Linked DNA regions of Oryctolagus cuniculus. The protein of the gene in region 7 interacts with the protein of the main gene of each other region in a biochemical or structural test. Links are inferred from orthologs where the notes say so. Each region holds a gene or a part of one and is shown on either strand. Other genes may lie near its edges. The genes, in order: UBC, RELA, TNFRSF1A, TRIM21, NFKBIA, COPS5 and IKBKB.

Region 1 (3,939 bases), on a different chromosome or scaffold from region 7:
TGGTGTCACTGGGCTCCACCTCGAGGGTGATGGTCTTGCCGGTCAGGGTCTTCACGAAGATCTGCATGCCACCTCTGAGGCGCAGCACCAGGTGCAGGGTGGACTCCTTCTGGATGTTGTAGTCGGACAGGGTGCGGCCATCTTCCAGCTGCTTGCCGGCAAAGATCAGCCTCTGCTGGTCGGGGGGGATGCCCTCCTTGTCCTGGATCTTCGCCTTGACGTTCTCGATGGTGTCACTGGGCTCCACCTCGAGGGTGATGGTCTTGCCGGTCAGGGTCTTCACGAAGATCTGCATGCCACCTCTGAGGCGCAGCACCAGGTGCAGGGTGGACTCCTTCTGGATGTTGTAGTCGGACAGGGTGCGGCCGTCTTCCAGCTGCTTGCCGGCAAAGATCAGCCTCTGCTGGTCGGGGGGGATGCCCTCCTTGTCCTGGATCTTCGCCTTGACGTTCTCGATGGTGTCACTGGGCTCCACCTCGAGGGTGATGGTCTTGCCGGTCAGGGTCTTCACGAAGATCTGCATGCCACCTCTGAGGCGCAGCACCAGGTGCAGGGTGGACTCCTTCTGGATGTTGTAGTCGGACAGGGTGCGGCCATCTTCCAGCTGCTTGCCGGCAAAGATCAGCCTCTGCTGGTCGGGGGGGATGCCCTCCTTGTCCTGGATCTTCGCCTTGACGTTCTCGATGGTGTCACTGGGCTCCACCTCGAGGGTGATGGTCTTGCCGGTCAGGGTCTTCACGAAGATCTGCATGCCACCTCTGAGGCGCAGCACCAGGTGCAGGGTGGACTCCTTCTGGATGTTGTAGTCGGACAGGGTGCGGCCGTCTTCCAGCTGCTTGCCGGCAAAGATCAGCCTCTGCTGGTCGGGGGGGATGCCCTCCTTGTCCTGGATCTTCGCCTTGACGTTCTCGATGGTGTCACTGGGCTCCACCTCGAGGGTGATGGTCTTGCCGGTCAGGGTCTTCACGAAGATCTGCATGCCACCTCTGAGGCGCAGCACCAGGTGCAGGGTGGACTCCTTCTGGATGTTGTAGTCGGACAGGGTGCGGCCGTCTTCCAGCTGCTTGCCGGCAAAGATCAGCCTCTGCTGGTCGGGGGGGATGCCCTCCTTGTCCTGGATCTTCGCCTTGACGTTCTCGATGGTGTCACTGGGCTCCACCTCGAGGGTGATGGTCTTGCCGGTCAGGGTCTTCACGAAGATCTGCATGCCACCTCTGAGGCGCAGCACCAGGTGCAGGGTGGACTCCTTCTGGATGTTGTAGTCGGACAGGGTGCGGCCGTCTTCCAGCTGCTTGCCGGCAAAGATCAGCCTCTGCTGGTCGGGGGGGATGCCCTCCTTGTCCTGGATCTTCGCCTTGACGTTCTCGATGGTGTCACTGGGCTCCACCTCGAGGGTGATGGTCTTGCCGGTCAGGGTCTTCACGAAGATCTGCATGCCACCTCTGAGGCGCAGCACCAGGTGCAGGGTGGACTCCTTCTGGATGTTGTAGTCGGACAGGGTGCGGCCGTCTTCCAGCTGCTTGCCGGCAAAGATCAGCCTCTGCTGGTCAGGGGGGATGCCCTCCTTGTCCTGGATCTTTGCCTTGACATTCTCGATGGTGTCACTGGGCTCCACCTCGAGGGTGATGGTCTTGCCAGTTAAGGTTTTCACGAAGATCTGCATTGTCTGTTATGAGAAAACACACAAAAAGAAACAAAAAAAAATTCAGCAAACAATTCACTAATATTCCTAAAGACTGAATATCGTCTATTTATCTACACTATTAAAATTAATAACTTGCTTAGGAACTCCAAAGGACACCAAACACAAACCTGAAAAATTACTTCAAAACCCCAGCCTCAGACCCTTCGTTATGAAGAAAGCAGGGAAACGTGACCAGTGAACTCAGGGCTTTTCCGTCCCTCCCCCCTTCCGGCTCGCGTTCCCGTCCACTCAGCAGGATCTCGCCTAGGCCCTAACCGTGTGTCTTGCAACTGACAGAAACCGACGCCACCCACACCGGGAGGCAGCCCCGCCCTGCTCTGTGTGCCAACACGCGGGTGACGTCACGGCGCGAGCCGCCCCCCACCCGCTGGAGCAGCCCCGCGCCGAGGCGCCTCCCTACTCCCCAGCCCCTAACCGGGGCCCAGCGCTGCCCGTCAGCCCCGCCACACCGCTCCCCCACGTCTCCAAACGCGGCCCGGCGACGCCGCCTTCCGCTCCTCAGACCCTCGCGGCGCTCGGCGCTCTCCGGCCCCTGTCCGCCCTGCACCCTGACCTCCCGGCTCGGCGGCGCCGCCATCTTGTCGGTTCTTCCGCCTGCGGGGCGACCCCAGCCGACTACCCGCCCGGGAGGGCGTCCCGCCCGCGGCGGGCAGCCGCACCGCCCTCCTCCCTCACGGCCGAGAGGCCGCGGGCCGCCCCCACCCCGGCCAGCACGACGAGGTCCACTCACCAGGCGGCGGCGGCGGCGGCGGCGGCGGCGGCAGCTGTACGCAGGATGAAGGCGACCGAACTCCGGCTCCGACGGAACTGGCTGCGCCGCGCCCGGCGCCCGCTTATATAGTCCGACGGCGAGCCGCCGCCCCGGCGAGATCCCTCCGCAGAAACGCCGAGAAGGAACTACTTTCCTCAGCCTCTTCCGCCCTCCGGGAAGGAACCCTGCGCCCGGGGCCGTCGGCCCCCTCACAAAACGTTCTCGGGTCGAGCCCGGGGCGGTACCGCCGGGCCCGGGAGGGGAGGGGCCGCCGCCCTGAGGGGCCCGGCGGAGGGATCAGGGCGTTTGCTGCGTGCTGCGGCCGACGTGCGGGCGCCCGCCCTGGGGGAGGGGAGCCGGCGCGCGGGCGGCGGGAAGACCCGGCGCGGAGCCGGGCGGCGCCCGGAGCGGGCGGGCGGCCGGGGGCTTCGGCTCCGCCCCGCGCCCCGTCCCCTCGGCCGCAGCGGCCCGTCGGTGGGCGGCCCGCGGGGGTTCCGGCCCGGCGCCCCCTCCCCGCGCGCGGCCCGCTCTGTCCCCGGCCCGCGACCTCGAGGGGCTTTCTGTGGGGTCGCGTCTGAGGTGACCGCGGTGGTCTCGTCGGGGCCGGGCCGTGACTGGGCACATCCGGGCCTCGCCTCCGCGGCCCACTGTGTCCACGGCCCGTGACCTCTAGGGGGCTTTCTGTGGGGTCGCGTCTGAGGTGACCGCCGTGGTCTCGTGGGGGCCGGGCCGTGACTGGGCACATCCGGGCCTCCCCGCGCGCGGCCCGCTCTGTCCCCCCGGCCCGTGACCTCGAGGGGGCTTTCTGTGGGGTCGCGTTTGAGGTGACCGCCGTGGTCTCGTGGGGGGCCGGGCCGGTGATTGGACACATCCTGCCCTCGCCTCCGCGGCCCCGGCCCCGGCCCCGGGCCGCCGGCGCGCAGACCCGCGGGGAGCCACGGCGGACCCCGACAGCGCTGGCTGGTTGCGGCTGGTCGCGGCCGCCCAGGCTCTCCCCGGAAGCCGCCGCCGGAGGCGCCTGGTGCGGCCCGGGCTTTAACCTGGGCCTTTTTACGGACGCGAACCGAAGCTGCGCTCTGTGTTTCCGGGATCCGATGCATGAAACGCGCACCTCGCGTTGTGATCACAAGGGGGAGGGGCACGGTCAGCCACGGGGTCGTGTCCTGGTGTTTGGGAGAATCGTGGCGTCGACCAGCAGGTGAGCTGGAGGCTCTTAAACGTTAGCGGTGGATTTGCCCCCTCGTGCCCCGAGTCCCCCCCTCCCCACGCTGTGCTGTGCGACTCTTCTAGAATGTTCCATTGCCACGATGGGGCGGAGGCGGGACCACAGCCCCTCCTTAGAGGGGAAGACCGTTTTACAAGTGTCATGTCACCGAGAAGCCCCGGCAGAACAACCGCTGTGTGGTTGCTGTGGTAACCTGCGGCTGTGTGGATCTGGGAAGATCTACCTGAGCATTGTTAGAGGACTTTTCCACCCCTTAAA
Region 2 (4,312 bases), on a different chromosome or scaffold from region 7:
GGCGGGCTCGGCGCTATCCCTGGCAAGAACACCACGCCTGGGACCCACGCTGCTCTGCCCTCGTGGGGCTTCCAGACCCAGCGCGAGCCACGCTGACCCGGGCAGTCTCCCGGGCCCCATCGTACCCACCTTGGCCACGCGCCCGTCCCTCCTGACCCTGCTTCCTGCCCCCAGGGTTCCCGCGCTGCTCTATTTTTATTCATCCTGCTCATTATTTAATTAAAAACTGCAACTGATGATGCCGCCCAGTCCCTCTGCAAGCTTCCCGGGCTGTCATCAGGGAATCGTCACCGCCCAGGACACCTCGCTCTCGTAATGTCCACTTCCCACAGTCCGTGGTGTAGGTGGGGGCATGCCACTCTCTCGCCACGTGATCCGGAAAACGCCCACTTCCTATCAGACCCCCGCCAGCCCCGAAGCCACACCCTCTAGAGCAAGGACGGCTCTGGGTCTGTCCCTGCCTGTCTGCAGCCAGCAGGGCTGGGCACGGGAGATGACACACGGATGCCGGACGACGGGCAGAAGCTCGCCGCAGCCCAGCCCACCAGCCTTCCTGCCGCCCAGGCCCACCCCGGCCCCTGCCCGTGACCCCCGAGCCACTCACGGTTGTCAAAGATGGGATGGGAGAGGACAGGCTGCAGGCGTAGGGGCCTGCCTGCTGGGTCCCGCACTGTCACCTGGAAGCAGAGCCTCACGGCGTTCAGGTCGTAGTCCCCACGCTGCTCTTCTATGGGCACTGTCACAACGGACGGGCGGACGGGCAGGTGTCACACGGGGCGGGGAGGGCCGGCCGCTCTGGCCTGGGGGCTGGCGAAGGGTGCCACAGCGCCGGACAAAGGCCTGCACTGGGACCCCGCAGTCCTGTCCCCTGCCGGGACGTGGTGTCCGGCTGCGGCGTCTTGGCCAGGAGGCCTGGGGTGGGGGCCGGGTGGGGGCGGAGGCTGGGGGGGCGGGGCGGCAGCTGGGGGGGACGGGGGCTGGGGGCGGGGGCGGAGGCCTGGGGCTGGGGCGGAGGCTGGGGGCGGGGGCGGAGGCTGGGGGCGGGGCGGGCAGCTGGGGGCGGGGGCGGGGGCGGGGCGGGCAGCTGGGGGGCCTCACCTTGGAAGGGGTTGTTGTTCGTCTGGATGCGCTGACTGATGGCCTGCTCCAGGTCGCGCTTCTTCACACACTGGATCCCCAGGTTCTGGAAGCTGAGCCCCTCCCCGTCAGAGCGCGGACCCTCCCGCGGTGCCCCGTCTGCACCTCCCCATCCGCCCCGGTCCTGGCTGCAGCGGCTGCAGCGGCTCCCCTGCGCTGCAACACCACCGCTCCTGTCGACGGCCTCCCGCCCTCAGGCCCTGACCTCGGCACCTCTCCCTTCGCCCCGGGATGCTTCCGGGCTTCTCCGATCAGCCTCACCATTCAAGGCCTAGCTGACAGAGGCCACCCCGGGCCTCCCGCCCCCAGGCCACGAGACCAGCACCCCTCCCTCGGCCGGGCTCTCTCCCAGCCTGGAAGTCACGGCTGACACCACGTGCACCGTTTATCTGCACGACCTACAGCCTGTCCGCGGGTGCGCGCTCGGGGGAACCGCAGGTTCGCTGGCAGCCACAGGGTCAGGGCCCCAGCCCGTCCCCCAGGAGTCCCACTCCCAGAAAGGAGGAGCGCAGGAGAGAGCAGTCCGCCCAGCGCGGCCCCGGGCGCTCACCTGTGGATGCAGCGGTCCGGGCAGAGCTCGGCCTCGTAGAAGCCGTCCCGGCAGTCTTTGCCGACCAGCTCGTGCGGGTGAGGCCGGTGAGGGGGGTCCTTGGTGACCAGGGAGATGCGCACCGTCCCGGGTCCCGTGTAGCCATTGATCTGTGCAAAGTACAGCGCGTGCTGGGGGCAGGGCCGGCTCGGCGGCCCCTCCCCCGCGCCCGGCCCGCCACAGGGGGAGCAGGACTGACCTTGATGGTGGGGTGGGTCTTGGTGGTGTCCGTGCTCCGCTCGCCGGGGATGCTGCCCGCCGAGCGGCCCTCGCACTTGTAGCGGAAGCGCATGCCCCGCTGCTTGGGCTGCTCGATGATCTCCACGAAGGGGCCCGAGGCCTGGGCTGGCTCTGCGGGGGCCGGGGGTCCCATCAGGGGCTGCCCCCAGCCCCCCAGCCCCCGGAGCCCCTCCCCGCCACCGAGCAGGGCCGGCCCACTTACCCGAGGGGAAGATGAGGGGGAACAGGTCTGAAAGGGGAGGAGGTAAGGGTCAGCACAAGCCCAGGTCCCCTCCACCCCCCGCCCCAGGGAAACTGAGTCAGGACCTGCTCCGTGGGGGGTACAGGAGCCAGAAACACCTGTTTCCTAAGGGCAAACGGGGTCTGGACCCCCGGCTGTGCTGAGGGAACCCGAGTCAGGGCCCGGCCCACTGTCCTCGGAGGAGCTGTGGGAGGGCGCCCCCCACCCCCCAGCCCCCACCCGAGAGGAAACTGACTCACACCCTCTCCCATAACAACTCCATCAGGGCTGCCCCAGAGGCCATGCGACGGACTCGCCTCAAAGCTCACCCCGCACCCCCACCCCGGGAGGGCCCCCGGTCAAGGCCCCCTCCACGCGGAGGGGAAACTGAGTCAGACCCCCGCCGCCCGCCCCGCCCCGCGCCACCGGCCGGCCGGACCGCTCCCTGGCGCAGCAGCGCCCGCGGCGCAGGAAGCGGCGGAAGGCGGCCCGGGGGTCCCGCCACAGCCCCCGCGGCCCCGGCGCGGCCTCCCCGCCGGCTCCCGGGGCGCCCTCACCGTCCATGGCCGGGGTCCCGGGGGCGGGGCCGGGGTCGCAGCTGGGCCCGCGGCGCGCGCTACAGGGGAGCCATTCGCCAGAGGCGGAAATGCGCCGCGCGCGCCCGTCGCCGCGTCACTGCCCGGAACCCGGCCGCGCCTGCGCGCTGTGCCTGTGCCGCCGCCGCCGCCGCCGCCCCGCGCGGGGGTCCGGGCAGGTGCGCGCCGCGCCGGGGCGAGCCCGCGGGGGCCGGGGGCAGACGCCGGCCGCTCCGGACACCGACGCTCACCCGCCCGCCCGCCCGGAGGCGGCTCCCGGGGCGGCTCCGCTCGCCCCCGCGTCCCAGCCCCGCCTGGAGGGCGGGCCTGCCGATTACTCACTTTGTTTTTAGGGGATTTCGGGGGCCCCCTCCCGCGGGTCGGAGGAGCTTGGTGATGTCACCCGGGCCGGGCTGGAGCGCGGCCAGAGCGGCTGGGCGGCGGCCGCCCGCCCCGCGCGCGGAGAGCCGGCGGCTTCACCCCGCACGCGTCTCGGCGCGGGGGGCGCGCGGGGTGCGGGGCGCGCCCGACGTCCCCGCCGGCCACTGCCCGCAGCGGGCGAGCCGGGCCCTCGGCCGCGCCAGCCCCGGCCCGCGGGCGGCCCATCGGAGACGAGTGCGGGAGGCGCCCGGATCGGCCCCGCAGCCTCCTCTCTGCACCCTGGCGCGCTCGCCTGCCCACGCCCGGGACCCCCAGGGGCCGCCCGAACCCGCAGGGTCCCGCCCCCCGCGAGAGTGCCCGGGGCCTCCCGCCGCGGCCCTGCGGGCGGGGGGCGGGCCTGGGGCTGGCACAGACCCTCTCCTGGGGTGAGGCTGCGCGCGGCTTCCCCAAAGCGGGGTGCGGGGGAGACTTTGTGTGTGTGTGTATCTTCTCCGAACTCGCACTAAATTAGGAAACCATGTGGGAATTGGAAAAGATTGGAAATTCTGACTTGCTTTCCCAGGCTCTGAAAAAACAGGAAGAGAAAAGTGAAAGAGAGCGAGCACCCCGCCCACCCGCCGGTGTCTCCGGCGCAGTCCGCTTCCCGGCCGCGGGGGCTGCGCGTGCGCCGTCCACTCCGAATAATCAGCGTTTTATTTCCTTGAAAGGCAGAGCGGCCTCCCGCCCCTGCATCACGGCCCAGACGCCGGCCAGCAGCCGGGGAGCTGCGCCAGCTGAGGCCAGGGGCGGGGGTCTCGGGCGGGGGTCTCAGACGGGCGCCGCCCGAGCGGCAGGGACCCCGAGTCTTGGCTGCTGCCCCGGCTGCCCGCCAGGGTCTGCCTTAGCAGGAAGCGGGAAGGGGGAGCCCAGCCGCGACTCCGCAATGGGGTGTGCACGATGCAAGCAACATTGTTTTTTGTTTGTTTGTTTTTTAAGATTTATTTGTTTGAAAAGCAGAGAGAGATAGGTCTCCCATGCGGGTGCAGGGGCCCAAGGACCTGGACCATCCTCCACTGCCCTCCCAGGCCACAGCAGAGAGCTGGACCGGAAGTGGAGCAGCCGGGACTCGAACCGGCGGCCTTACCCGCTATGCTACAGTGCTGGCCCACAACATATCACGTTTAAAAAGGT
Region 3 (3,790 bases), on a different chromosome or scaffold from region 7:
GCGTCCGGCCACTCAGCGCTGAGGACATGCTCCGACAGATCCGGGAGGAACTGGCCACGCAAAGGATCGAGGGAGCTACAGAGCCCGGGGACGGCAAGCCTCGGAAGCTGACCCGCGCCCAGCTGCAGAGGATGCGGGGTCCGCAAGTCATACAGTTGGACACGCCCTTGTCCACTTCGTAAGTGCTGAAGGGGAGCTGGCGGGGGGGGGGCGGGGGGGACAGACGGGGGGCGGGGCCTCTTCCACACCCCTGGACCCTCGCCTACTGGCCACCTCCTTTCTTTTCAGAGAGGTGTGAGCATCGGGGAGGAAGGCTCTCCCGGAGAGTGCTGGTCACCCCTGCCCCCACACTACCTCAAGGACCACACTTCCCGGCACCTGCCTTCTGCTGCGAGGACTCTGGCCATCTGGCCATCAGGAACTGTAGATTTATGTACCACAGACACCCCTGCGCCCCCCCTAAAGTTGTGCATAAAAACGGCTGCGTGGGTGGCATTGCTTGAGCCTGGGAAGATGGGGGTGTGTGTGGGGGGGTGCTGTCACCGCGCGACTGGTGGGCCCTCTGGCCCTGGGTTGGGACTTTCCCCACCCCACCCCTCAGGGTGCAGATGCCCACAGAGACAGACCATCCCCGTGGGAGTGGAGCTTTAATTTCTGGGTTTTAGTGAATTTACAAAAGCCTGCCGCTCCGGCTGGAGGGCTCACTGTTCTGCCCTTGGCCCCTGCCCCAGGACGCGTCCGGGCAAGGGGCAGAGGGGCGCCAGGGTTCTATTAGTGTGACACAACTGATATAAACATGCTTATCTGCTGCGAGAGAGGTCCCCGGACCTACCAGGGGCCGGAGCAGCTCTGCTGGGCCCTCCACGTCCTGTAGTCCACAACCACCCACTCGGGCCCCGGGCACGCTCAGCCTCGGGAGCACTCAAGCGGGCACAGCTGGGCGGTGCTCCGGCAGCTGAGTTTGAAACGCTGTGTGTGTGCACGGAACGGGTAGCACCAAGTAAGTGGCTGCTAGTTCACGCCTGCCCCTCCAGGATCCGCTCCAGAAGAAAAGGCCCAGAGGGCATCTCCCAGGGTAGGCTCCTCCTCCGAGGCGGGGACGGGGACCAGGAGGAGGGACACACAGCGCCTCCGACGGCCTCCAGGCAGCCAGGGGCGTGGCTCCACCGGGTGAGGCGGAGCGAAGGGGGAGGCGGGGCCACGCCTCGCCTCCTCGAAGTCCTCCTGGCAGCCGGGGGCGTGGCTCCATCAGGCAAGGCGGAGCGACAGGAGGGGGAAGCGGGCCATGCCGCGCCTCCTCGACGTCCTCCAGGCAGCCGAGGCGTGGCCTCACAGAGCGGGGCACTCAGCGTCCTTCGGAGAGGGCGTGGCCTCAGGGCGGGGCACGCAGCGCCCCCCAGAGGGGCGTGGCCTCACCGCGGAAGGCGGGCCTCCGACGGCTGGGAGGCGGGGCCGCCCAGCACCGCCTCGATGTCCTCCAGGCAGCCGAGCAGGTCCATGTCGCGGAGCACGCTGCCCAGCAGGTCCAGCGTGGCTTCGTGGCGCGGCGTGCGCTGCCGCCAGGCCGCCAGCATGCTGTACTGGGCCTCGCGCAGGCAGCGCCCGTTCTGCAGCTCCAGCCGCTCTATCTCGTGCTCGCGGAGCCCCAGGCGCCGCACAAACTCCCGCCAGCGAGATGGGGGCACGCCGTCCACCACGGCATACAGCGTCACGGGGTCGGCTGTGGGGACGCGGGGCGTTGAGCCTTCTGCGGCCGCCCTCCACCCGGCCCTGCTGCCTCCCGGAGCCGCGCCCGACCCCGCGAGGAACTCACTGTCGGGGCGCTGCTGCGGGGCCACCGCCGCGGGGGCGCTGCAGTCCTCCCACTTCTGAAGCGGGGTGAGGATGGGTGTGGAGGCCAGGGCCGTGGTGTGGACGGGCTCAGCCTCCCGGTAGGCCAGGGCCACCCCTCTGGAGGGCGGCATAGCCCTGAAGCTGGGCCAGTCCTCACGGGGAAAGGTGGAAGTGGAGTTGGTACAGATGCCCAGGTCGGGGCTGAAGCCGGGGATGGGGCTGAAGCCTGGAGGCGGGCAGACTCCTGGGGCAGGGGCGAGGGGTTTGGCAGGAAGACCTTCAAGCTCCCCCTGAAAGAGAGTGGGCACAGCGTTAGTGGGGGAGGGGAAGGCAGCCTCAGCCCTCATTCTGGTTGGGGGTTGGGGCTGGAGGGAATTAGGGGAGCCCCCGAGTGGGAGCAAGGGTGATCCCAGGTGATCGGGGTGTTACAATGATAAGGAGCAGTCAGGGAAATTTGGGGGGCAGGTCTCTGGTTTCATCTCACCTCTTTGACAGGTGTCGCTTTCCCACAAACTGAGAAAAAAGAAACAGAGTATAAATTTCACTTCCCCTCTTCTCAGGCCTGGCGCCCCGTCCTGGGGTTGGCAGTGGGGACTTGTGGTGACATGCCTCACGGCTTATGTGGCCCCAGGGACAAGAGAACTAGCGACAGAGCGTGACCTCCCCCTAGCCACTCAGGGCCCCCCTCCACCCACAGAGTCCTGGGCAGTGAGATGGGGGACCCTCCTCCTCGCACCCCCCACGCTTGCGTGTCTGAGCCACCCAGCCTCCTCCCACAGGCTCCCCAGCGCCCTGTCCCCTGCCAAGGGCCCCCTCACCAATGGAGTAGAACTTGGGCTTCCACCGCCGCTGGTAGTGGCACATTAAAACAGTGAAGAGCAGGGAGAGCAGGCACAGACCAAAGAAGATCACCAGGGGCAGCAGCACTGTGGCGCCTGCAGAGCGAAGTTCATGGTCAGGGGATGGGTGGGGGGATGGGTGGGTGGGGGAGGGGCAAGGACTGTAGAGGGCAGCTGGGCGAGGGCGCTCCTCCTCACCTGAGTCCTGAGAGCCCTGGACGTTCCCGGTCGGGGGCAGGCACAGTTTCATGCACACTGGGTTCTCCTTACAACTGAAAGAGGAGACGGCGATGGTGAACAGAGGCCCTGCCACTGGAGAACACACACACACAGATACACAGCACGGACACACGCAAAACAGATACACAAAACACACAGAGATACACAAGCAAAACACAGACACAGAGATACACAGCACGGACACACGCAAAACACAGCTACACAAAACACACAGAGATACACAAACAAAACACACACACACACACAACACGGACACACGCAAAACACAGATACACAAAACACACAGAGATACACAAACAAAACACAGACAGAGGTACACAGCACGGACACACGCAAAACACAATACACAAAACAGTCACAGAGATACACAAAACACAGACACAGATACCCCAAACACAGACACACAGAGATACGCACAGATACACACACAAAACACACACATACACAAAATACAGCGATACACAGACACACAGATACACAGCACAGACACAGGCAAAACACAGAGACACAAAACAGACAGATACACAAACAAAAACACGGACACACAGATACACAGCAGACACACACAAAACACATACTCAAAACACACAGACACAGAGATACACAAACAAAACACAGACACACAGGTATACACGCCGATACACAAAACACACACATATACAAAACACTGAGATACACAGACACACAGAGATACACACACAGGACACACCGAATCACATAAATCACACAAACTAAAAACAAAGAGACACACAGACACACATAGAGATTGTATCTTTGCCTCACAAACATCTTTGCTATCTCTTGATATAATGAGGCTTAACCTGTCCTGGGAACTGATGCCAAAGAAACCGTCACAGAAGATGATACATTTTAGAATC
Region 4 (3,588 bases), on a different chromosome or scaffold from region 7:
AGAGGAGGTGGTGTGGTTGCACAGAAAGGATATGGAACCCTCCCCTTCCCCTTACCTTGGCTGATTTCATCCTCTATGGTAGAAGCTTCTGGAAGATAAACTGAGCCCTTTTTTCCCAGTTCTCATAACCTGAGCTGCTGACTTGGAACACAGGTGGACACAGACACATCCCACCCTGCTCAAACTTCCATTCTCATAACTGAGGATATGGTCTCACTCACTGCAGACAAGTCCCTTCTGCTATTCCTTAGTGGAGGCCATATGTGTTCCCCTGGAAAAGCCAGAAAAACTTGCCCAAGAAAGGGGGAATTTCAGAGAGGAATGATAGCAAACTTGGATGTCCCAGGAGGAGTAGAAGTGTTCCATTTTCCAGGAAGAACGCTGAGAGCTGAGGGCACCCGAGCCTTCACCCTCTATCAGTGACATTCACTGGTCAACCAAGAACATGGACAGAAGCATCTCAGGTCTTTCAGAGATACAGAGAACAGTACCAGCTCTGAGAGCACTTTGTTTCAAACCCAGGAGTTCCCTCTATGTGAAGGGCACCTGCCCTCGGGCAGTGACTGCAATCTCAAAATGCCTTCTATTATCACAGTGGCCACTTGGAGATCAAGAGAGGAAACTCTTACTGGTATCTTCTGCCCAAGACCAAATAATCCAGATGCAGAAGTAGGGAGGGCAGCCCAGGCAGGAAAAAATGTGCAACATTAGATATCTAAGCATACTTTAAAGTTTGTAAAAAAAAAATGGAGTTAAGATACATTTATTTTGGTGCAAAAATTGAAATCCATGCATACTTTTCATATGTATTTTCCATGAACATTTTGAAGGAATGTTGTATATCACTATTAATCAGAGTTGTCAAATATTTCAGGTTTAAGGAACAAGGGCAGAATACAACACAACTGTTTTTAGGAAGCTATTTTACAAACCACCCACAGTATAACAGAGCTCTGACCTAAGATAATAACCTGAAGATGGAGAGGCTAAAACAGGATTTTTTTTTAAAGGTTTATTTACTTGAAAGAGAGTGAGCAAGCTTCTATTTGCTGGTTCACTACCTAAATGGCCGCAATAACTAGAGCTGGGTCAGGCCGAAGCCAGGAGATTTGTCTGGGTCTCCCACATGGGTGCAGGGGCCCAAGGACTTGGCCCTCTTCCACTGCTTCCCCGGACACATTAGCTGGGAGCTGGACTGGAAGTGGAGAAACCAGGATTTGAACTGTGGCTTAACCTTCTATGCTACAGTGCTGTCCCCTAGGACAGAACTTCAGCGACATAAAGGAGGTGGAAACTGGTTCAGGTGAGTTTGGGCTAAATCTGCAGTTTGCTTCACTGGAGGGAATCGGCAATTTAAAGCAGAAATACCCACTTGATATTGGCTTTCAGTGACCTCCCACCCCTGCTAACAACTGCTTCCTGGGATCCCAACACCTCTGCAGAGGCAAAAGTGTCTCAAGCGTTCATGGGCAAAAGAGGCAGGGGCTGCTGCTGGGAGGGGCCCCAATGGGACGAGGGTGTCCATGAAGAGCCCTCAGTAATTGGCGAGTCCAGACTATGCCATCTTCAGTGGACAGAGAGTGAGAGGAGCTCCATTTTTTCCATCATCATTGAAACCAGGACTGAAGAAGGGCCGCAGAGGTCCAGCAAAGTCACAGTCAGAGAAGGTGTAGATCAGGGACCCATGGTCAGTGACATTGTAGAAGGAAACAGTGCTGGCCTCATAGTCCAGGAAGATCCCAACTTGGTATGGAGGTACCCGAAGGTGGAGGGGGGTTGGGGAACAGGTGCCAGCCTCATATTGTTTTACTTTCCACAGCCAAATTGTCCAGAAGCCTCTCTCAGTGTTGAGCACAAAATTCCCCTTCCTCTGCACCGAGGCTCTGCAGACTCCCAGGTCCCAGGCCCTCTTTCCCCTCACACTGACTTCCCAGTAATGCTTTCCAGAGTTGAAGTGCTGGGCACCGAGGACCATTGGATAATTATCAAATCTCTCTTCATTTTTTGGCACATCCTGCCAGGTGTTTGCAAGCCTCACTTGTCTCAGGTCCTCTGAGATGATGAGCTGTGGATTGGCCGTTTGTGGATCCAGAGTGATGTGTACTGCAGAGAGAGCACCACGGTCAGGCCTGGGGTGTGGGAAGTCCTCAGCCTGTGCCTGTAGCAAGGGGATCTGTGTCAATTCCAGGAGGAGGACGAGCGGCCGACCTCCTCAGGTGAGGAACTGACTTCCAGCGAGCCCTGGCCTTGCCCTGGCCTTTGAAGGGATTACCTTCTCTACTCCTATCTCTCCCCCACCTGCCATCTCTCCTCCATACTGCTGTCCATCCTCCCCCATCCTGGGTCTACTCCACACTTTCATCATTCCCATCTGCCCCACACCCACAACTCCCAGAGCTCGCCTCACCGCCACACGTCCTCAGCATCTTCTTCAGCCCCGGCACATGGCACACACTCCTCAGGTCTGGTGAGATGACTTTCAGCTCCTCCAGGCTCCAGGACTCACTCCTGGGGAAAGAGTTTCAGACTCGTCTTCCACTCCTATTACCTACCCGCTCCCCCACCCCAACCATAACACTATGACTTCCTTGGGGATTGTGATAGTTAAGTACAAAACTTATAATTGCCTCTGGGAAGTAGGAATGAGAGGCAAAAATTTCCAGGATTTATCCAGAAATTCCTAGTTATGAAAGTCTTTGCAGCATGTGTCTTCTCTCATGCTTACTTGGTGACCTTGGGCTCCATCTTATCTTACAGGCAAGGTGTCTGATACAGGCTGAATCACATCTATGAGAAGCCTCAAGGAGTCTGGCCATGCTGTAGGTCTGTCTTACAGCTCTTTCGAGGTAGTTTATAACTGGTGTAACTGCTTCTAAAAAAGCAGACCCAGCAGGCTAGAGAAATTCCTAGCCTTTCCCCAGTTGTTGGGGATTTGCTCTGTGAAGATATTATAGCCCAAATCCTCTGGGAAACTTGGCAACTGAGCTATCCATTTGTTAGCCTTCTGAAACCAGAAAGTGCTTAATAGAGGATCTCCTTGAGAACAGGGAGGCAAGCACGGGAAAGTCCAGGGCATGTTTTTCTACCTTTGCCACCCTCTCAGAGGCATATATGATCATATTGCCCCCTCTTTTATTTATTTTATTTTTTAACTTTTATTTAATGAATATAAATTTCCAAAGTACAGCTTATGGATTACAATGGCTTCCCCCCCATAATGTCCCTCCCACCCGCAACCCTCCCCTTTCCCACTCCCTCTCCCCTTCCATTCACATCAAGATTCATTTTCGATTCTCTTTATATACAGAAGATCAGTTTAGCATACATTAAGTGAAGATTTCAACAGTTTGCTTCCACACAGAAACATAAAGTGAAAAATACTGTTTGAGTGCTAGTTATAGCATTAAATCTCAATGTACAGCACACTGAGGACAAAGATCCTACATGAGGAGTAAGTGCACAGTGACTCCTGTTGTTGACTTAACAAATTGACACTCTTGTTTATGGCCTCAGTAATCACCCTAGGCTCTTGTCATGAGCTGCCAAGGCTATGGAAGCCCCCTGAGTTCACTGACTCTGATAATTTTT
Region 5 (4,395 bases), on a different chromosome or scaffold from region 7:
ATAAAACGTGGTCCTTTCACGAGATTTTGGATAATCGTCCCCAAAGCCCCCACCAGAACGAAGTGTAAGCGGTGTTTTTCCTCTGGATTCTAATCTTTCTTCTCCCCGAGGCACAGTTCACAAAAACAGCCGAACGCGGGCCAATCCACCACAGTTGAGCGCTTCGGGCCGGGAAGACACCCCTGGCATTTTTTTTCCTTTTTCCTTTTTTTTTTTTTAGAAAAATAAAACTCTCTTTTTGTACAAATATACAAGTCCACGTGCTTTCCAGGCGCCTGGTGCTCACAAGGTCAGGCGCTGGCCTCCGAACACGCAGTCATCATAGGGCAGCTGGAAGAAGAAGAGGAGAGTAAACCTCCAAGGCCCAGCCCGGGGCTGCAGGCCGCAGGCCAGGGCCCTGGCTGCGACTGCAGCTCCGATCCCCCCACCCGCCGTGCAATGAACTTGACAGGCTGAGTGCATTTCCCTTGAAGGATTTGCTGCTTAAAGAAGGGTAAGCTACTTTTATTTTTATTGGGGGGGGGGGGTTCTATACAGTCGGAGAGCTCTATCCAATATCCCAGGGCTGCTCAAGGGAAGGGGCCTGGCAGGGTAGGGGATGGGGCTCACCTCGTCCTCCGTGCCGTCCGACTCCGTGTCACAGCTCTCCTCGTCCTCACTCTCGGGCAACCTCTGGAGGTTCTCCAAGGTCAGCTGGCCCAGCTGCTGCTGGATCCGGGTGCTGGGGCGGCCCCATGTGAGTTGGTACGGGGAGTAGCCCTGGTAGGTGACCCGGTTGACATCGGCCCCGCACTTCAACAAGAGCGACACCAGGTCCGGATTCTGCAGGTCCACGGCGAGGTGGAGGGCCGTGCGCCCATTGCAGGGTTCCTAGAGCCAAGAGGAGTGTGAGATGCTTAGGAGGCGTCTGGCATTCCTGCGTGCAGCCAGTGTGGCTGACATGTTGCTGGCAAAGAGCAGCACTCCACCTGGCTCGTGAGGCACTCACCTGGGCGTTGACATCAGCACCCCAGGACACCAACAGCTCCACAATGCCCAGGTAGCCGTGGATGGAAGCCAGGTGCAGACACGTGTGGCCTAGACGGACAGAAGGAAGAGAGCATCACCACCTGTTTCACCGTCCCCCTAGTCACTCATGGGACAAGCACATGTGGCCCCTGAATTCTAAGGAGCCCGAATCTGGGTTCTGAATGAACATTCCAGCAGCCTGAGACAGGCGCTTGATACTCATTTCCTCCTGCTTTCACAAGCTGGGAGTTTAAGCTCTGCCCTGCACGCCTTAGGCCAGCCCGCCTCCCCCGCGCCGCCCGCCTGGGACAGCACAGCGTACCGTTGTAGTTGATGGCCTGCAGAATGGAGTGCAGGTGCTGGGCCGTGCAGGTCTGCTTGAGGACGCCCACGCTGGCCAGGCAGCCCTGCTCGCAGGCAAGGTGCAGCGGAGTGTTTCCTCGAAAGTCCCGCAGCTCAGGATCACAGCCAGCTTCCAGCAGTGCCTCAGCAATTTCTGGCTGGCTAGTGATGACAGCCAAGTGGAGCGGCGTCTACGAGTGGGAGAGCGAGCACAGATAAGCCTCGGCGCAAAGTCGTCCTCCGAGTGCCCCTGAGCCGCAGACATCTCCCGGGGGTGGGTGCTGCTCCTCCCAGACAGGGACAGGGGGCCAAAGACCAGGGCCCCGGGTGGGTCGCAAAGACCTCACCCAATCCGTGGGCTTTTAACTCTGCAGGAGACCGGCTTATTGGAATGTGAAAGGCCAGGGCAGGTAAGGACCTGTGGCTGTTCTTTCAGAGAGCTAGGGGTGGGGAGGACTGTGCCACATCGACTGCATCCCGAGGTCACAGAGGGCACAGGGCTGGGGACGACAGGCGCACCTGCTGCAGGTTGTTCTGGAAGTTGAGGAAGGCCAGGTCTCCCTTCACCTGGCGAATCACTTCCATGGTCAATGCCTTCTCTTCATGGATGATGGCCAAGTGGAGGAACCTGCAGGCCAGAGAGGGGAAAACCCCCCGCAAGGGGCGGTGAGCGCACTGCGTGGGGCCCCGGGGAGGCGCGGCCTGCGGGGGATTGCGCAAGGCCGGGGTTTCTGGAGCCGGGGCCGCGGTGTTTTCCGCGGGGTTATTATGAGCTGAGTGTTCCTGGCAGGCGCCCAGGGACTTTCCGGGCCCCGCCCCCCCCGCGGCGGCGCCGGCCAGGCCGCCCCGCCCTCCCGGCGGCCCGGAACGCCCTGTACTTCCCCCGCCGGCCGCGCGGCGCCCGCCCGCCCGCCCGCCTTATGCAACCCGGGACTCGGCGTCCCTGCCGCCGCGCCGCCCCCCGCCGCGAGCGCCGGGCTGCGGGGTTCGGGGTGTGCGGGGACGGGGCCGTCCACGCCCTTCCCCGCCGGCCCGAGGAGCCCCCAGAGGAGCCCCGGCCCGCGCGCGGCCGCCCCGCAGCTTTGCGGCAGACTCGGCGGCGCTGCACGGCCATCCCCCCCCTCCAGCCCGGCTGTGCTGCAGCCCCGGGGCCCGCGCTGCAGGCCCGGCCGCCCCCCGCCCGGCCCGCGGCCCTCAGCCCCCCGACACTTACGAGTCTCCGTCCTCCGTGAGCTGCTGCCTCCAGGGCTCGGCGGCGCGCGGCGCCTCCTGCGGCTCCAGGCGGATCTCGCGCAGCTCCTTCACCATCTGCTCGTACTCCTCGTCCTTCATGGAGTCCAGGCCGCTGTCGTGGCGGTCGTCCAGCAGGCGCTCCTTCTTCAGCGCGTCCCGGGGCCCCTCCATGGCCCAGTCCTGAGCGTGCTCGGCCGGCTGAAACATGGCGCTGCTCCCCAGGTGCTCGGCCGCGGGCTGCGCGCTGGCGTCCTCGTCCTGTCGCCGGCTCCTGGCGGGCGGCGCGCTGCGACTGTTGTGGGCTCGGCAGCGCCGCCGCGCCGCCCTATAAACGCTGGCGGGGAATTTCTCTGGGGGCGGGGTCAGGCGCGGGGAATTTCCAAGCCAGTCAGACCAGAAAAGAGAACTGGCTTGGTCCTCTGCTAGGGGAAAAAAAAAGGCAGCCTAAACTCCGAGCCGGGGTTCATCGGAGAAACTCCCTGGGATGACCCACCGGGGTCATGTCCAGGGAACTTCTCGCTGCGCGCTGAGTGGCTGGAAAGTCCTCCGGGCCCGGCGGCCGCCGCCGCCCCGGTGCTTCCCTGCGGACCGCGCGCGGCCAGGCCGACCCTGCAGGGCCCTCCTCTCTCCCTGGGGTTTCCCACGGCCGATTGCACTCGGGGTCGTCTGCTGCAGGGATCCCGAGGACACAGACCTGCCGGGCCGTTCCTCTTTGGGGTTTGCCGCCCAGCCGGTCCTTTCCGTTTTCTCGGATCTTGCGGAAGCGCAAGAGTGGAAACGGTGGCTGGCCGTGGGGGTTTGTCTTCCCCAGAGTTGGGTGCAGTTCGCGGGCGGCCCCTGGGTTCCCGCAGATTCCCGGCCCTGTAGGGTGCAAGCGCTCCTGGCGTCCCGACCCCCTCGGGGAGAAGCTGGGTTTTAAACCAAGTCCCGTCCTGGGGACTAACAGGCCTGTCGGCTGGGGGAGGGACAGATCTCGCCCTGCGAGGGGTCAGCGCTCAGTGGGGCCTCAAGGGTTTGCTTTTTGTTAAGCAAGGAGTTCGTCTTGGTGGGAGGGGTTGCAGGTAACCTTGCAGTAACGAAGTTCATGGTCTGTGCTGCAGGAAATGGATCCTGAGCCTATTTCTGAGTGCCCAGCTGAGCAATTTTTCAGCATTGGGAGGAGCCTGACCAATGGGTGGCAGTTAGTGTCTTACCCAGGATTGGGCCTGAAAGATGGCCAAGAGTAACTGCCAGGCCCCCCGCGGGAGGTTCCAGGCGGCTCCCCCGTGTGCTCTGGGAGAGGGCAGTAGCTGGAGCCATTCCTGCAGTGCCACTCTTGAGAGAATCCCCTGGCTTTAGAGAGGTTATGCTCCGGCCCCCGAAGCGGCAGACTGGGCTGAATTCAACTACTTCTGGAATTGGTGCAGGTAATCAAATCGGCTTTGATCGGCTTTGAGCATGAGCTCCAGGGGCCTCTGCAGAGGTTTCTGGAGGTTGTGGCAATCACCTTCGCCTTACTGATCAGGTACAAAGCAACCCTTGCCTCTCCTCGGATCTCCACCTGTTCCCCCCATATGGAACATAGGGGATAGGGTCACTAGGACAAAATATGAGGGCAAAAAAGTAAAATCAAGAAATAAACCCCTCAGTAGTAATGGTCACATGTTAGAGTGAGAACTTCCCAGTAGAGACTGCAGTGTCTGCAGGCTTAGGAACCGCACACACGGGTTTATCAAGGCAAGGTCGCACAGTGATGCAGGCAGGAGGCCTCGGTTCCAGGGTCAAAGTCACTGCGCACTGGCTGCACAAGTCAGTAAATATTTTTTGTAGTGT
Region 6 (4,445 bases), on a different chromosome or scaffold from region 7:
AACCTTGAGAGGATAGCCTTAACTTCAGAATCTCAAAAGTTACCTTGAGACTCTAACACAGTTTAATAAACAAGATTTTTTTTTGTTACCACAGTTTAATAAACAAGATTTTTACCTGTTTGGCGTTTTCTATGTATGCAGCCATGTACTCATATGCTGCAGCTTGAGCATTTACTCGGGTTTCAGTGCCCTCTACAGGCAAAGCAAAACTGTCCATAATGATCATGGTTTCACCGTCCACCTTTCCTAGCATCAAGCCCATCACCTCCAAGTTGCCTCCTGATCTGGCATGCATCACCATTTTCAGTAGAGCCAATGCTGAGATTTTGCAGTACTTAAAGTAATGATGACTACAAAATAAAATCACAATGTAATTATATTTCTTATTTGAAATAAAATATCCAAAGACTTTTTTTTTTAAAATAAGTTACTGAGAGAATTTAAATTGATATAAGGGCTGTGTAGAATGTGGGAAGTAGTAGTAAAGGACAGATGACCTGCATGGGTATGGAAATAACAAACATGTCATACTCCTGCAAAATATTCCCCCCTGGGGAAAGGAAGGGTCTGAAACAGTCCTCTCTCTCTTTTAACATGCTATTCAAATGTGGAAGTAGCAATGAGTTCAAGAGACTTTTCCTCTGTTGATTTGCAATGATCAAATATCTGATTCTAATACTGGATGGATGGCTGTGTTTAACTATTCTTAGGCCTAACCTTTTGGTCTAATGGTTAAAAGAATGTGGGCTCTGACATCTATCTGCCTATGTTTGACTCTTGCACTGCCATTCCTTAGCTGTGACATTAGGACAACCTCTTAATGTCTGCGTGTCTCACATTACATTGCTTAGGGTAAGCGGGACTAGTTCAGAGTCATTAGGATGAAATAAAATGAATGAAATAATAAAGTGCCTAGCTTTAGTGTCTGATCCAAAGTAAAACCTTAATAATGCTATCTGTTTTTAGCATTATTAATTTCTGTTACAGTATTCTCAGTACTCTGAAACAACAATATTTTGAAAGATGTGGCTTTCCTCTGTAATATCAGCCTCAAAATTAAAAAGTGTCTCTAATATCCTTAGCTGTCCCATGATCACTGTTCTTGAATTTGTCAGTGGTGGCTGTGAGTCAACTTTTAAGTAAAACTATATTTTGGTCTGACTGATGCAGCCCAAGACAGCTAGGAGGGATATAATTAGAACTACTGTGAGACAGTGTAACAAAGTGATGGCTTCCAAATATCTAACAGAGGAGGTCAACCTAAAATGTACAGCTGCTATAGAAGTCGACAACCAGGCAACCTAACCAGCCTGTACGCTGTACAGAGTGGTTAGTTGGTGTTTCTGAGCTAAATGTTTGCCCAGAGAAAAGCACAGAAACTTAATTCCCAACCTTTGCCAGATTTCACAAGCTGAAAAACACAGAGGCTTGGTGTTGGAAGTTAAGATACAAATTAAAATTGTGTTCTAACGGGAAAAGAAAAAAGATAACTGTTATTGTGCTCCTATTACATTGCCTCAATGTGATCATGAGGTATTTGCTTGTTTCCTTACTTGAAAAAACGAATGAAAGTACAGTACTGGGTTGTCATGATGATTAAAATGACAAATGCAGATCCCTAACTCAGTGTTTGGCCCATGTTGAGTTATCAGTAAACACTGCTGCACCTAACTGACAGTTAAAGCTAGGCTTGTAAAAGACGGTGTGGCAGGAAGTATGTCCTGGGCTTGCCACAGCTCTCCTTTGTATCTATTAAACAGTTTTCTTTTACTCTCTTTTTACTCTTTCCCCAACAAAAGTCTTCTTTTGGTAAAGGATAAATGTTATGGATTAATAATCCTTGACTTGTCATCACTCCCAGGGATGCATGAATTTTGCTAAGGGGTAAGAGCCTTAAGGTCTATTTTTTAATCTCAGACTTAGGTGACACTGGTGGAGTAATATTTTAGAAATTGGTTAGAGGCTGACTGTGCCTCTGAAATAATTACCAGCAATCAAAGAACTACTACAGATCTCTAAAAAGATGGCTCACAGCTATCTGCAAGACAGGTGAGCTGCTGACTCAATTTCTGAAAAGAGCTGCGGTTCCCGTCAGGGACCAGCTGAAGGCCCCAACAAGGTGTAGTCCACACAGGGTTCAAAGCAGATACTGGCAGATATAATAATCAGGATGTTGAAAAGTGATAACCTAAATCTCTGCTTGCTGTTCATCCCTTACATCCTCCAGAGGCAAAAGAGTTAACAGACAGAACGGGCAAAGCAGGCCGCAGCGGAGGAGCATACACTACACGTGCGGGGATGAAGGTAGATCAAATTCTGTTTCAGGTGCATAATCTCTCCTGGACCATGAAAAGCCAAGCCGTCCACCCACTCCAATTCCCACTCCCCCACCCTCGGGTCTCTCAAACTCTAACCACCCCGTCCCTCCCCTGCGAGTCTCCAGGGACCTCCTCACTCCTTAGTCCAGGGCTTCGCCGCCAGGATTTCTTGCTGCTGTTTTTTGTCGTATTTGTAGATTTCATCGATGCTCTGGGCTTCCTGCATGTTGTTGGCCAATTCCCAGGTTTTCTGGGCCATACCGCTCCCGGACGCCGCCATCGCCGAGGAATCAGAGAAGCTTTCGCTTCTACGGCCGAGACGCAACTTTACTTTTCTAGCTCCCTGGGTGTGGGTTTTGGACCCTTCCCACCACAGGTGCAAACTCTTCCTAGACTCTCGAGGCAGCCATGACACCTAGAACCGGAGGTGAAGTTGGTACGGACCATTCGGGGATGGAGGGGGCTGTTAGGAGAAGCGACGATAAATCGGTAGTTAGTGTAACAGCTGTGGCAAGGGGAATATTAATGTGGGTTAAATGAGAACATATCGTCTTGGAAAACTGTATCTATGAAATAGGGCAAACACAATCATTTGCCATGGGAATGGTATAGCCTTTCACAACGGAAGAAGGGCACGTTAACGTTATGCCAGAAACTGCCGTGGCCTCTTAGTTAGTACTGCGCAGGCGCATTTTCCGCCATATTAAATGTGGGCGGAGCTGCAAGTTGGGCAGAGGAAAGTGTTTTCGTGTGGGTGTAGCTGTCTTAGATGGAAAGTTTCTTGAAAGACTAGGAAAAAAATAAAAAGGATGTCTGGAGAAATTTAAATGTAAGTACTGGATTTTGGCTGCGAGGAAGATAAATATGGCATCCTGTTTTGCTTCCAAGTGACCCAGTACACATGCGTAGAACTGCGGGCTCGTGGATTTCAGGTGGGCGTTTTCTAGCGCTCGCGGGAGGCGGCAAAAGCGAGTGAATTGTTACGGTTTTATCCTGTGACGTAGACGTTTCATGTCCCTACATTTATTATGAGCTGTTAGTGATGCAAATGTCCAATACTCAGTTCTCATGAGTTAAGTCTGCAGCGCTTAATAGCCTGGACGGAGTTAATCTCAGCAACCTTTTTGTTGCCTCCCGTTGATACTATGTTTGTTTCCTGTGTTTGGTTTACGTGTTTTTCCCTCTCTTCTCCGTCCGCACTAGATTCTGCGTTTAAAGACGCAGGGACCAGTTCTGTGCTCTTTGTTTTATTTCTAACACCTGGGTGTTAGGGATAAAGATCTTTTTGCTGGAAAAAAAGAAAACATCGCAGCTCTTCATAACCTAGTCCCTACGCACCTCTCCAGTTCCATCTCTCTTCAGTTCCCCCTTGAAACCTTTCTTTCCAGTAGTGCCATTCCCCACACTTGGACTTAGCACAACAGTACTCGGATGTGGTCAGCGTTGCTTGATTAACACGCGCTTCCCTGGCTTTTCTGCCTGCGAGCTCATATTAATCTGAAAGCACAGTTCTGAGGTCTGTCTTCACTCTCCAGGACCATTTCTTCCACGGTGTCTCCAAGTCTGTAAGACAGGTACTTCTTAACTCGCATTGTGTTGTAATTATGTACGAGTATCGGTTTACATGGAGGTTTCTTTTTTTCAGAGTTCAGGATACCTCGCACTGCCTTGAATCCTCCACTCCTAGTAGGGTGCGTGGCAGATCGATAGAACAAATAGAAAATTAGGGTTATGGAATCCACACCACAGTCTGCGGTTTTGACATTTTCAGCTTAAAATTTGCCTTTAAAGTCGACTTGCAAAGTAAGGATAAATTAGGGCCCCTAGGAGACATTAGCATTCTTAGTTTCTTGCGAAGTCAAAAAATCTTTTTCAGTGGGAGCATTTGATTACTTAGTATTGGTGTGAATTGAATTACACGTTGAAAATGGTATTGAAAGCCCGGGACTTGCGCTGACCAGACTCCTGGCTTAGGAGAGTGTGCCATTGGTATTCTTCTTACTGCCTCTACCTTCCCGGACCTCAGACTCAGGCTGTCCTCGGATCGACCGCGGAGTGGTGGGTTGGAAAGCAGGAATTAATTCAACCTGGGAAGCGACTCCCAAGGTTTAACAAAACCCTGGGCGC
Region 7 (3,870 bases):
CTGGCAGGGTGCTGTTTCTGTTTGTTTTGGAGACAACAGGGCGGGGACTGTCCAGCTTTGCCGGCCTTACACGGCCCACAGAATCATCTGGTCTGGCCCTGCAGGCAGGACTGGGAAGCCACTCAATCTACAGCGAGCTATCAGTTGATAAATGTGCGTGGCCTGCAAATGATGTTCTCAACAGCCAAGTGTCCCTGGGCAGAAAAAAGGTTCTGCAGCCTTGGAGACAGAAACAGGGAGGTCCCCCAGCTCAGGGCTCACCCTCCGACCACCCACGATGGCCAGGGCTGAGCGGGTGCCAGGCCGGAGCTGGGAATGCAATCCAGTTTTTCCATTAGGGTGACAGGGACCCAACTACTTGAACCATCACTGGGTCTGCATTAGCAGGAGCTAGAGCCAGAGGCCAGGCGCAAACCTAGGTCTTCCTGGCGATCTACCATTCCTCAACAGAGACCCAGGTGCCACCGCTGGGCCTGGGCCCCGGAACATGGCTCCCCTGGGAACACTCAAGCCCAGGGGGTGGGGGGACCCGGAGTCCCATCCCTGTCCCTTAACAGGGCCGAAACTGATTGACACTCTCAAAAAGGGTTATCCTTTGAACACTGGAAGAGAAGAGGATTAAATAACTACAGAAAACCCAGGACAAATAACTGAGCTTCTGGCACTGACTTCTTGACCTAAATGTGACAAACGCTGCTGCCCTCCCTGCCCAGCTCCCCCTGACTGCGCACAGTGGAGTGGCCTCCGTGTCACTTCCCCCATGGAGGACTGGTCCACCTGGTTCCTCTGCCCCTCCTCGGGCCCAGATGAACAGCTCCCAGGCCTGCCTTCTGTTCTGCGTTCCGCTCGTTGAGCCACCCTGTGTGAGCCGCGGTGTGGACGCAGAGCCGCCTCTCAGCGTGGGCGTGGACAGGGCCTCACGCCCCTGTGACGGCACGGCGCCCTTTCTGCTACTCAGCAATGTGGAATCGAAGGCTCAGAGGGCCGGCGCCTGCCTGGGCTCCTCGCAGGCACAGGTGGGACGGGCCCACAGAGCCTCCCGAGCCGAGGGAAGGTGTGCGGGCACTCACAAGTCGTCCAGCGTGCCCCCCTGCTTCCGGCCCATGGGGCTCCTCTGCAGGTCCACGATGTCGGTCTGCAGGGCCATCATCCGCTCCACAAGATGCTTCACTTCGTCCTCCTGAGGGAAGAGCTGTGCTGACGCCACCCGGCAGCATCAGAGCGGCCCGAGACGCACGTTTGCTGGGGCGGCAGGGTGGGGGCCAGACCCACACAAGACTCTCCACCGACTGGCTGGGCAGGACGCAGACCCCGGAGTCACCTTGGAGTCATGGCGCCTGGGTTCCGCTCTCCGTCTACCTCTCCCTAGCTGTGCAACTGCGGGCAACCCTCAGGTACGGCTCCCTCATCCCTAAAACACACGTCTCCTAGGGCCACTACAGGGGCGACGTGAGATCAGGGCGTGCGAGATCAGGCACAGGGTCTGGTATCTGAAGGATACTGAATACGCACGGCCTTCGCGTCTCTGAATCCGTGCATCCGTGTGGTGTGCACGGATGACGGGTCCCAGGGCCACGGCCGGGTGAAATAAAGGACTGTCTGGCCAGCACCCACCCCGTCAGTACAGGTTCCTGAAAGCAGGCACCAGGAGTGCACGGGAGAGCCGTGACAAAGCTGTGCCGGGTTCCTGTGCTCACGCTTCCTCCCTCGCCTTCGTGGGCACTATCTTTTGGCGGCCCCTGATTGGCACTGCAGGGAAAAGCCTTTGGCCTAGTGCGTGCTGGTCATTCAACCAGGAGGTCTTGGCTTTTCTCCGAGGGCGCTCAAAGCCTCGCTCCTCAGTTAAACCTGCATCTTCTCTGCCCATTCGTATAGCTCTGTGAGGAGCTACAGCAGGGCTCCCTTTACTGCCTATTCTCTCTCTCTCTCTCTCGGAGCTCCCTTCCAGCGAGTTTGGTGAAAGTCAAAGAACACAGCAAAGAAAACGCGGTTTCTGCCCTGAAGATCAACCTGGCATTTGATGCGAAAGCAGGAGAAGGCGGCAGCGAGCCTCATGCCCTTGGCAACACAGACACCCGAGAGTCTCCTACCCGCCCACACAGCTCCACGGCCTGTTCCATTTCCCTCCAGGCCAGCAGCAGCTTATCTGATGCTGGAAAAAAAAAGTGAAAAAGAAAAGAAAAATACCATAAAACCAAAACAGAAACAAGCAACTCTACTATCACAGGACAAAAGAAACCCCGTGAGAAGCACGGCCAAGGGCTCACTGCCAAGGGCACACTCACTGATCCCGAACTCGGTTTGCTCGCTATACTTCTCCAGGTCGATCTGGATGCTGGTTTTAAAGAAGTCCAACTTGGCCTTGAGCTGCTGGGATATGGAAGCCATGGAATTCTTCATCTTGGAGAGGCAGCTGTTATTACGGAGGAGGTTCATCCTGCAGGGGCCGCAAGACACGGGACCTTGAAGCACCCTGGGGACCCAAATGCCATTTCCTGCATAGTGGCAGAAGCCCTCAAACATCAAGGGAGGTCCCTGCCATCACTATTATTATTATTATTACATAATAACCATAAGGACACTCTTCTAGTCCTTAGCAATTCATGAAGTTCTGAACCAAAACGGGAAGCAGGCCAGCGCACACAAAGGGACACAAATCTAGCTTACACTAGCTGTGGCCACGCAGAGTGGGTACGTTTTTGGTAATAATAACTAGGGGAGTGTTGCTAACCCAGACTGCAACAAGCTCTCTGGGTTCCAGATTCTGTCCGCGGTCGCCAGCCCAGCCCGCAGCGTTGCCCTGGGCTCCACGCGCCAACCACATGCACCTCATCAGGGCTAGAAGAGGCTCCAGCCCACCCAGCCACTCGCCGCCCTTCCAAGCCAGTGTCTCCCTCGTTGTCTCAACGGCTGCTTCCGGGCCCCTGCCTCAGCCACCTCCCGCGGCCAGCGCCACCCGGCAGTTTCCAAGAGAGGAAGTCAGAGGGCGCCTGGCACCGTACATGGCAGCTCGCTGGCCCTGCTGCAGCCGGTTGCAGTCCTCCTTCAGGGTCTGGATGCTGTGCCAGACCTGGCCCCACACCTTCCTCAGCTGGAAGAAAGGGAGATTCCTCTTGGGCTCCTGAACTGGAAACAGAGGGGAAGGCCACCATGAACCACATCCTGCCTGCAGCCTGCCGGTGCTTTCACACTTAGAAACATTATGTAACTACTTTCCTATTATGCAAGTGTTTGGGTCTCCTGCCTGGTTCCTGCCGCCGACCTCTGTGGGACCTGTTCCAGCAGAAGTGAACCAGCGGGTCGGTGGTCGGTGAGGAACTGCGGCCTGGACTCAAAGAAGCAGCTCGGGAACCAGGTGGGGACTCACCCTCAGGCACCCAGGCCCACTGCTTTCATCAGAAGCTCTCTGTTCACAGAGTTTAAGGGGGAAAAGTTTTAAAAAAGACGCGGCTTCACTCAGCAGCACTGGGCATGCGTGAATAAACAAGAAGCCCGCAGGCTCTGAGGCCTTGGCCCCCGGCCATTCTCGGTGTGCGGGGAGGAGGTGGGGGAGATGTAGAATGGCCATCAGACATTCAAACAAGGGATCCTACACGGCCATTCCCGGAGGAGGCAGCTCCACATGGACCAACAGCGGGGAATCTCCAAACCACACTGCTGGGGGAACGAGGCAGCATGGAACCGCTCACGCCGCAGGCTACCCGAAGCCCTCGAGGGACACCCGAGGACCGGGTGAGCTTACTGGCCGGGGCATGGAGAGAGGGCACGGCCTACTTCTCACAGAATATTCATTCTCTTGTACTTCATGGTTTTGGTTTTGGGTATCATGATCATACATTAATTACTAAAAATATAAGTGAAGCTTCACAA

Evidence for each region.
Region 1: the proteins of IKBKB (region 7) and UBC form a complex in vitro, tested with the Homo sapiens proteins (2 studies listed by BioGRID). The link is inferred for Oryctolagus cuniculus from reciprocal best matches to the Homo sapiens genes IKBKB and UBC.
Region 2: of the proteins of IKBKB (region 7) and RELA, one has a biochemical effect on the other in vitro, tested with the Homo sapiens proteins (4 studies listed by BioGRID and IntAct). The link is inferred for Oryctolagus cuniculus from reciprocal best matches to the Homo sapiens genes IKBKB and RELA.
Region 3: of the proteins of IKBKB (region 7) and TNFRSF1A, one has a biochemical effect on the other in vitro, tested with the Homo sapiens proteins (2 studies listed by BioGRID, with this or other methods). The link is inferred for Oryctolagus cuniculus from reciprocal best matches to the Homo sapiens genes IKBKB and TNFRSF1A.
Region 4: of the proteins of IKBKB (region 7) and TRIM21, one has a biochemical effect on the other in vitro, tested with the Homo sapiens proteins (2 studies listed by BioGRID). The link is inferred for Oryctolagus cuniculus from reciprocal best matches to the Homo sapiens genes IKBKB and TRIM21.
Region 5: of the proteins of IKBKB (region 7) and NFKBIA, one has a biochemical effect on the other in vitro, tested with the Homo sapiens proteins (58 studies listed by BioGRID and IntAct, with this or other methods). The link is inferred for Oryctolagus cuniculus from reciprocal best matches to the Homo sapiens genes IKBKB and NFKBIA.
Region 6: of the proteins of IKBKB (region 7) and COPS5, one has a biochemical effect on the other in vitro, tested with the Homo sapiens proteins (2 studies listed by BioGRID). The link is inferred for Oryctolagus cuniculus from reciprocal best matches to the Homo sapiens genes IKBKB and COPS5.

The regions. Positions count from the first base shown.
Region 1 is NC_091452.1:5,127,078-5,131,016, reverse strand, and holds the start of UBC (polyubiquitin-C), read right to left. Parts: upstream 2,801-3,939; 5' UTR 2,436-2,800; intron 1,982-2,435; exon of another isoform or gene 1,813-1,981; intron 1,667-1,812; 5' UTR 1,664-1,666; coding exon 1-1,663.
Region 2 is NC_091432.1:6,038,206-6,042,517, reverse strand, and holds the start of RELA (transcription factor p65), read right to left. Parts: upstream 2,883-4,312; 5' UTR 2,751-2,882; coding exon 2,744-2,750; intron 2,196-2,743; coding exon 2,169-2,195; intron 2,078-2,168; coding exon 1,926-2,077; intron 1,837-1,925; coding exon 1,688-1,836; intron 1,191-1,687; coding exon 1,099-1,190; intron 737-1,098; coding exon 605-736; intron 1-604. UniProt on the Homo sapiens protein: NF-kappa-B is a pleiotropic transcription factor present in almost all cell types and is the endpoint of a series of signal transduction events that are initiated by a vast array of stimuli related to many biological processes such as inflammation, immunity, differentiation, cell growth, tumorigenesis and apoptosis.
Region 3 is NC_091440.1:103,146,811-103,150,600, reverse strand, and holds the end of TNFRSF1A (tumor necrosis factor receptor superfamily member 1A), read right to left. Parts: intron 2,945-3,790; coding exon 2,871-2,944; intron 2,769-2,870; coding exon 2,652-2,768; intron 2,347-2,651; coding exon 2,318-2,346; intron 2,124-2,317; coding exon 1,814-2,123; intron 1,721-1,813; coding exon 1,413-1,720; 3' UTR 631-1,412; downstream 1-630. Other genes in the region: PLEKHG6 (pleckstrin homology domain-containing family G member 6), read left to right, coding at 1-178, 289-298.
Region 4 is NC_091432.1:62,646,821-62,650,408, reverse strand, and holds the end of TRIM21 (E3 ubiquitin-protein ligase TRIM21), read right to left. Parts: intron 2,509-3,588; coding exon 2,408-2,508; intron 2,104-2,407; coding exon 1,556-2,103; 3' UTR 748-1,555; downstream 1-747. UniProt on the Homo sapiens protein: E3 ubiquitin-protein ligase whose activity is dependent on E2 enzymes, UBE2D1, UBE2D2, UBE2E1 and UBE2E2.
Region 5 is NC_091443.1:40,158,312-40,162,706, reverse strand, and holds the start of NFKBIA (NF-kappa-B inhibitor alpha), read right to left. Parts: upstream 2,998-4,395; 5' UTR 2,791-2,997; coding exon 2,564-2,790; intron 1,979-2,563; coding exon 1,870-1,978; intron 1,542-1,869; coding exon 1,331-1,541; intron 1,078-1,330; coding exon 989-1,077; intron 871-988; coding exon 610-870; intron 494-609; exon of another isoform or gene 331-493; coding exon 283-330; 3' UTR 1-282. UniProt on the Homo sapiens protein: Inhibits the activity of dimeric NF-kappa-B/REL complexes by trapping REL (RELA/p65 and NFKB1/p50) dimers in the cytoplasm by masking their nuclear localization signals.
Region 6 is NC_091437.1:92,681,330-92,685,774, forward strand, and holds the start of COPS5 (COP9 signalosome complex subunit 5), read right to left. Parts: upstream 2,964-4,445; 5' UTR 2,599-2,963; coding exon 2,456-2,598; exon of another isoform or gene 2,448-2,455; intron 351-2,447; coding exon 116-350; intron 1-115. UniProt on the Homo sapiens protein: Probable protease subunit of the COP9 signalosome complex (CSN), a complex involved in various cellular and developmental processes.
Region 7 is NC_091433.1:92,506,469-92,510,338, reverse strand, and holds part of IKBKB (inhibitor of nuclear factor kappa-B kinase subunit beta), read right to left. Parts: intron 3,127-3,870; coding exon 3,003-3,126; intron 2,438-3,002; coding exon 2,286-2,437; intron 2,153-2,285; coding exon 2,091-2,152; intron 1,181-2,090; coding exon 1,071-1,180; intron 1-1,070.